2 linked regions of the Rattus norvegicus genome follow. Each later gene encodes a partner of the first gene's protein in a complex. Links are inferred from orthologs where the notes say so. Each region holds a gene or a part of one and is shown on either strand. Other genes may lie near its edges.

Region 1 (3,606 bases):
TCGGGAGGGCCTCAGAAGAGTTCTGGAAGAAGGGAGTTTGGATCCAGGTGTCCACGGTAACTCATCAGCCCATACACTTGTTTCCTCGCTTCTCATTTCATAAGAAAATCTCCATTAGCCCCGTGACACCCCCCACTGGTCCTGTGATACTTGACCAGTCACTGACACCCTCCATTGGTCCCGTGACGACCTCCACTGGCCCCACCTTTGCCTTTTGGCTGGAGGCGCCTTAGCCAGGAGCATGGGTGACATAGGTGTTGGGACAATGAAGCCTCAGAGACTCACCGTGCCTGTGGCTGGCCGATCAATCTGGATCTCCACCACCTCACCTTCAATGATCTCTGTCTCCTCCCTGGTGGGACAGACAGCACAGACTGGGTCAGACCAGCCCAGGACACCCTGGTTCTCTGACCAGGACTACGGGCAAGCAGAGGGGCCACCCCACAGGACTCACTTGATACGGACACCAATGGAACGGCGGAAGGCTTGTGTTAGAGCCTCGGTCTTGCTCATCTCCAGAGAAAAGATCTCACTGCCTGCGATGGCTGTGAACGGTGTGTCGGGGCCCAATGCCTGGGCCATGCCTGTGGGAACCAGAGGTCAGGCAGTTGTGGCTACTGGCCCCACGTCCCTGACACAGTGGTGGTTTATGGTCCAAGTTTCCAGACATCCTCAAAACCATCCATGCCTCTACTCCATGCCCAGACCTATGAGCCATTTAGTCCTGACATACTGTTCTCTTCTGTCTTGGTACAAGTCACCTTAGAGGCATGGTGACATGGTCCCATCCCTAGGTGAGCACTACTCCTAAACTGATTCCTGGCAGAACCTTGGCTCCTCCCACCCGGTCCACAGTCTCAGTAGAGGTGGAAATGAGGCGACTGGTGGGTCAGGTGAGTCTCGGAGGCTGAGACGCATGGGAAGGCTTTGAAGGACGGACGGAATCTGACAAGAGGTGGCTGTGGCCCTGAGTCACCAGTGGACTGCCGCAGAGAACACTGGTCACCAAATCCAGTGCTCACCCTCTCTCTCTCCTATTCCCAAAACTCCAATGAGCCAAATTCAGAACTGCAAAACAATGCTGGATGTGGTGGTGCATGGGCCCAGCACTTGGGAGGCAGAGCCCGCAAAGACTCCATAAAGACAGCAACCTCTGCGGCGCTGTGTGGTAGACTTTCCCACAGCAGCTTCCAGGCATGCGCATGCCGGCTGCAACTCCTCCTGAGGACCCGAGCACAGTGGGGAAGGATGGAACTTAGCAGCCTGCTTGGAATACAAGTGAGCCGAACATGGAAGCTAGTGTAGAAGGCAGGGACCCTGGACAGCCTCCTCCTGATGCTTCTATGTGACTGTTAATCAGTCAGCCTGTGCCTGACTTCCACAGGAGGGCTTCACTGCAGTGCACAGAGGAGAACATCTGTCCCTTGAGGCCTCTTACCCATGGCGATGGCTGTCTTCCCTGTGCCTGGCTGGCCAGCAATAAGGACAGCCCGCCCCGCAATCTTCCCTTCTCGGATCATCTCCAGCACCACGCCAGCTGCACGCCGGGCAGCTAGCTGTCCCACCATGCCCTGGGAAGCCTGGAGGGTGGAAGGAGAGAGGACATGGAAGGTAACTGGCTGCAGAGCCACCTTGGCATTCCCGCCACACCCTGGCACACACCCCACCTGCTGGAAAACAAAAGAAACAGTTCTGATTTTCTCTTCTTTCTGAGACAGGGTCTCACTCTACAGACCAGGCTGGCCTTGAATTCATGGAGAACCGAGTGCCTCTGCCTCCCATGAAGCAGAGGTGCTGTAGTACAGAATCAAGAGGCCTGAAGACCTGCCAGGCAGCAATAGCCCACACGCCCAGCCCCAAGGCTCTACCTGTCTTGGCTCCAGGGCATCATCCAGTCCCAGGCCCCGGATGTGGGAGTGAGCACCTGTGTGGGAGGAAGGGAAGGAGAGTTACTGGACAGTTCTAGGCAGCACTGGCTAGAACTGCTGAGTCAAGGGCTTCCCCTAGAGCTCAGGCTGCTCTCTTGGTCAAACGATGCCCAAGCTTGGTTAAGTGCTTGGCATCCAAGGTCTGGATGATGCTTCCAAGGTCCCAGGCACTGGGCCCAAGAACTAACGGTGAGCTAGGGTCTCAGCCCACACTGGGAGGATATAGGTACTTGGCACAGGTGCTGTTTTCACATCACACTGACAAGCCAGAGCTTGTTGCTACCATTCCTGGGCCATTCCACAGGGATGTGGAGAGACAGGTTAGGACCCAGCCTAGAGGTGAGGACAGGATCCCTGAACGGCATCCAGTGGCTCTGAAATAAACCTCAAAAGGGCACAGGTACCAGACCTAACACACCCTGCCTCCCTGACATGCACTCTTACACTTCTGGAAGACATGTGATTTAGCAAGCACAGGGCCTGCATGAGGCCCTGGGTTCCAACTCAAGCACTAGAAGTGGGAGGGTGCTTTGTTTCAAAAAAGTAGAATTCATCAGCCAGGCACAGTGACGTCACCCTCAGCTACACAGTGAGTTCAGGGCCAGCCTATATGAGAAAACCTCGAGAAGAAAAACAAGGCCAGGCGTGGTGGTGCACAGCACTCAGAGGGCAGAGGCAAGGGGATCTCTCCGAGTTCGACACCAATCTGGTTTACACAGCTAGGTCCGACCCGCTGAGGGACAGCTGAACAAGTAGGTGTGGCCTCCTGCACAGCTGGCGTCCTGGGAGCTGGCCTGCCGGCCTCACACCTGCCTGTGGCTCTGCGAGGCTCACTACTCAGCTGCTCTGAGAGCTGGCCTCCTCACCGGGGACAGGATGACAGACTCTCCACCTCCAGATGTCACAGGAGACATCCATCATGAACACTCACGAATCTGACGGTTACCTGCCGAGTACTCTGCAGGCTTGGGGCCTGAGTCACACCAGGAATGAGGCAGGCCCAGTGTACTCTCAGGGAGTATTTCACCATACGCACTTATGTGCTGGACACAGCTCAGACACTCCTCAAACTTCCAAAACCCCATGAAGGCATGCTACGTGTATAGCAGCCTAGTCTGGGACTAAGGCCCCATCACTTCCTTGTCTGTCTGTCTGTCTGTCTGTCTGTCTGTCTGTCACTCAGCAGTAGTGCCTCCCCTGGTCCTGACCCTGCTCACTCACCGATTCGCTCGATTCTTGTCACATCTCGGATCTCAGGGACTTTAGTAGTGGCTGCCTGTGGGTGAGGACAGTGATGTGTAAGAAGAGTCCCATTTGTCACATTTCATCTGCTCTCTCACGGTCCTGCTGCCCACCAGGAGCTCCCCGCCTCACAGGCAGGCAACACCCCAACAACAGCCACCAATCACTAATGGCCGTCATCAGCCCCACCACTGAGGGCCCAGGGAGATAGCCTGTGTCTCACACCTCAGGGCCCTGGCACATGGTGCATGGATGAGGAAACCCTCCTGTCCCTATACTGAGCTCTTTGAGGATGGCAAGGAGACTCGCAGACCAGCGAGCTCTCTGGCTCCCAGTAGGCACCTACTTGTCTCGCAAAGGGAACAGTACACACAACCCTGGCCCACCTTGGACTCCATGTTCACACATAGCACGCTACAGTGCTGAGCTCATTCAA
Region 2 (4,341 bases), on another chromosome or scaffold:
TTCCACCTCACACCAGTGAGAATGGCTAAGAACAAAAACTCAGGTGACAACAGATGCTGACATGGATGTGGAGAAAGAGGAACACTCCTCCATTGTTGGTGGGTTTGCAAGCTGGTACAGCCACTCTGGAAATCAATCTGGAGGTTCCTCAGAAAATTGGAAGTAGTACTATCTTAGGACCCAGTTATACCACTCCTGGGCATATACCCAAAAGATGCTCTAACGTATAACAAGGACACATGCTCCACTATGTTCACAGTAGCCTTATTTATAATAGCCAGAAGCTGGAAAGAATCAAATAACCCTCAACAGAGGATGGATATAAAATGTGGTATATTTCTACAAAAATAATGACTTCATGAAATCCATAGGCAAATCGATGGAACTAGAAAATATCATCCCTAGTGAGGTAACCCAATCACAAAAAAAAAAACAAAAAACAAAAAAACAAAAAAAAAAAAACCACATGGTATGCACACTCACTGATAGTGGATATTAGCCAAAAATCTCGAATTACCCAAGATCCAATCCACAGACCACATGAAGCTTAAGAAGGACGACCAAACTGTGGATGCTTCAGTTCTTCTTAAAAGGGGGAGTAAAAATATTCATAGGAGGAGATATGGAGACAAAGCTTGGAACAGAGACTGAAGGAATTGCCATTCAGAACCTGCCCTACCTGAGGTTCCAGCCCATAAACATACAATATTTCTGATGCCCAGAAGTGCATGCTGACAGGAGCCTGATACAGCTGTCTCCTGAGAGGCTCAGTCAGAGCATTACAAATACACAGGCAAATGCTAGCAGCAAACCATTGAACTGAGAACGGGGTACCATTGGAGGAGTTAGAGAAAGGATTGAAGGAGGTGAAGGAGCTTGCAACCCCATAAGAACAACAATACCAACCAACCAGAGCTCCAGGGACTAAATCACCATCCAAAGACTATATACATGGACAAACCCATGGCTACAGCTGCATATGTAGCAGAGTATGGCCTTGTTGGGCACTAAGGGGAGGAAAAGTCCTTGGTCTTACCAAGGCTGGATCCTCATTGTTGGGGAATGTCAGGGTGGGGAGGTGGGAAGCGGTTGGTGGTTGGGGACGGGGAACACCTTCATAGAAGAAGGGGAAGTGGGGATGGGATACGGTGTTTATGAATGGGAAACCGGAAAGGGGAATAACATTTGAAATGTAAATAAAAATATCCAATTTAAAAAATTAAAAAAAAAAAGCCAAGACCACAGTGTTAGGCACACTACTGATTAGTGATTTATTTTTACATAGCATCCGCTAGGGGGCAACACAGACCATTCATAGACTCTCCAGCCAAGCCAGACGAACCTTTAGCCAAAACTAATGTGCGCTGATGCACAGCTACTTAAAGTCGGAGTTCCAGGATCTAGTATCCACGCCTGCTACTGAGCAGGCGTAAATATGCGCACTCCATTGGTCGAGGTTCCGGAAGGGGCAGGGTCCTGAAAGGAACACTGGCTTCCGGTTGGGCCTGCCGCCTGCTGTTTCATCCACCGCGGTTCCTCCGTTCGGTGCGGCGTGGCGATGCCTAGCGGTGCGGAGCACCCCGGAGACAGCGCCGCGCCGGGACCCACCCGCACATCGACCGCGCACGCCGAGGCCCTTAGCAGTAAGGTGCCGTGGGACGCCGAGGATGGGCGGTGGGCGGCGGGCGGCGGGAAACGGGTCCCGCGGTCGCATCGGTGCCCAGTAGCCTCACCGGTCCATTCTCAGCACCGGCCGCTGGTTTCCCCTGCGTCCTGCAGATTTGCTATGATGGAGGCACAGATTTATCCACTGCAAACAACAGTGATACTGAGACAGAGGTCTTAATGACGTTTTTCCTTTACGCGTTTGCACCACTCTCCTCTCGGAACCCTTCACACATGTGATCTGTTGCTCGTTGGCTGTGCTTCATCCATTTAGCCATGTACCCGCCTGGACGCCATCCATGACGTCCATCATGAAAGTTTAGAAATCTGCCCGTTCTTCCAGACTCAGGCAAAATTTTCTTAACCGAAGTTATCAGTTGCCTGTTGACCTTAAAATATATTCTCACCTTTAAGTGATCCTAAAAACATCAGTTTGGTCATCTCTTTATTATTCAACCAGGACTGTAGCAGATTAATTTTTTCCCTTCCTCTTTTTGGGATAGGGTTTCATAAGTAGCTCAGGCCAGCCTCAAATATTGTTTGAGGATCACCTTGAATTATTCTCTTGCCTAATAGTCAGGATTTCAGGGAGGCAACCCCATACCTGAACTGTACAGTGATCTCAACTTCCAGTTACAGACAAAAATCTTTAAACGTGTGGATTGGAGGGGGTGTGGGTGCAGCCTTTTCAGTTATTAAACATCCTGAATTCCATATTTTTTTTCTGTCCTGTATGACATCTTCAGTACATTGCCTTATTTCCAGTGTGCCACAGTATTCTGTGGTGTCACCTAAAGTGAGATATATTATATACCTGTCGTTTGTAGTGAGCATAAAAGCGCTGTACAAGCAGCCTTGAATCTCAGGGAGGGTGTACTCAATGTAGCTTTGTCGTATGTTAGTACAGCTCTTAGCACTGCCCATGCACACTCATTTGGGTGGGGATGAGTTTTCAGAATACTCTGGCTACTGCCATAGCAAGCCTCTTGGCACTGTGTAGCTGTGTCAGTGTAGACTTATTGCCTATTTGGGCATTTCATCTGATGATAAGGAACAAACTGAGCTTAAGGATACCAGCAGTATGCTGTCCTTAATACTCAAAATAGAATGATACAAGGGTGGGAGATGATGTTGTACCACTGCAGGAAGGGCGTTCGTTCAGTACCGTTCCGTTCATTTTATCCGAATGTCTGGCTGTCATCCAGTGCATACATCATAAAACCACTGGCTATTGGTAAAGAGGAGAAGCCACATTCATTTCTCTTTTTTAGTCTACAGCCAGGCCTTATAAAATTAAAAGATTGGTATTAATTTGGCTAGACAGTGTCTCACCCTGGTTAAAGATGTGAGCTGTGGTAACTGGCGCCTGGCAAGTCTAAGTCAGCTTCTTTCTCCAGCTGTCTTCTACTGGTTCCAGCCTGAGTGTGGTTGCATCTGTACAGTATCCATTTAGACAGGCAGTCCATGACAGGCCCCAGTCCCATGTTTTGTTTTAAAGCAGTTGCTAAAAATGTGCTCACTAAACATAGTTTGAAAACTTCCACTTTAGGTTTTTTTCTTTACTTTAATAGATTAAAGAACAGAAAGTTATTGTGGATGAACTTTCTAACCTGAAGAAGAATCGGGTAAGTTGCTGTGGGAATCTGAATAGTATATATATATATAATATTAAAATTATGATTTAGATTATTTATGCTAACATTGCAAAATTCAAACATCGTAATTTAAAAACTAAAGTGATATCCTCATTTGGTTTTGCATGTTTTAAATTTGTTCTTCCTGTATAAGTCAGTAGATCTCAAAGATGAAAAAATTATATTTTAACAAAAAAGAATGAAGTTTTCCATAGAAAACTTTAATATTCCAAATACTTAACCCATTTCATGGCTTTTAAATAAATGTGTTAATAAATCAGCTACAATTAACTAATAATCGACATTTCTGATATTGTCATTTGTGAAATATTAGATGCTAGGGCAAATTAATACAGAAATTTTTGGAGATCAAACTGGCAAAATGAGTAAATGCTGTATGACACTTCAGAGTAACCGGTGTGGAAGCAGTTGTGAGGATGAATGCGTGTTTACCTGCAAAGGTACTTGCCAGCATCTGTAGTGAAGAGTTGACAGAACAGTAAATGACTGAGCTTGAAGGCAGTAAAGAACTATACATTGTACCAATGTGGTGATATAAAAGAACCTTCCTTGGTCAGAAAAGATCTCCATGTATTATTCGTTTATGAACTAAATTATAAACCTGTTGCTGTGATAGCCTTTGTTATTTGAAAGACTATGGTGTGATGACACATGTGAAGCAAACAACCGTCTCTGGGTGGCATAGTGATCAGTGACTTTGTTTATCTGTGGTAATCACTCTTCTGAATATTCCTGAAGTTCAAGAGTGGGTGATAAGAGGATCCTGTTCAACATCACTGTGCAAGTCGCATTCTTCTTTTTTATTAGCATGTCATGGGTACTGCGGCCTGAAGCATGGACTTTCAGTGCAAGGACATGATTGTCATGACCCTGGGACACCACTCATGGGTGGCTAGGAATATTGGTGCTGTATGATGGAGTGAATGGACTGTGACATAGTAGGTGCTCTCATAGCACAACACAGGAGAAAGCAGAATACAGACTTCATTGCCAATGATTAAGAACCACTGTCAGTTCTGTA

Evidence for each region. Proteins that work in one complex are often made in the same cells at the same time.
Region 2: Ruvbl2 (region 1) and Asdurf share a complex: the UniProt entries of both Homo sapiens proteins name them as parts of the PAQosome complex. The link is inferred for Rattus norvegicus from reciprocal best matches to the Homo sapiens genes RUVBL2 and ASDURF.

What each region holds. Positions count from the first base shown.
Region 1 is NC_086019.1:105,045,178-105,048,783, forward strand, and holds part of Ruvbl2 (ruvB-like 2), read right to left. Parts: intron 3,205-3,606; coding exon 3,150-3,204; intron 1,925-3,149; coding exon 1,869-1,924; intron 1,581-1,868; coding exon 1,439-1,580; intron 585-1,438; coding exon 455-584; intron 353-454; coding exon 286-352; intron 1-285. UniProt on the Homo sapiens protein: Possesses single-stranded DNA-stimulated ATPase and ATP-dependent DNA helicase (5' to 3') activity; hexamerization is thought to be critical for ATP hydrolysis and adjacent subunits in the ring-like structure contribute to the ATPase activity.
Region 2 is NC_086027.1:55,617,298-55,621,638, forward strand, and holds the start of Asdurf (ASNSD1 upstream open reading frame protein), read left to right. Parts: upstream 1-1,501; 5' UTR 1,502-1,558; coding exon 1,559-1,648; intron 1,649-3,236; coding exon 3,237-3,290; intron 3,291-4,341.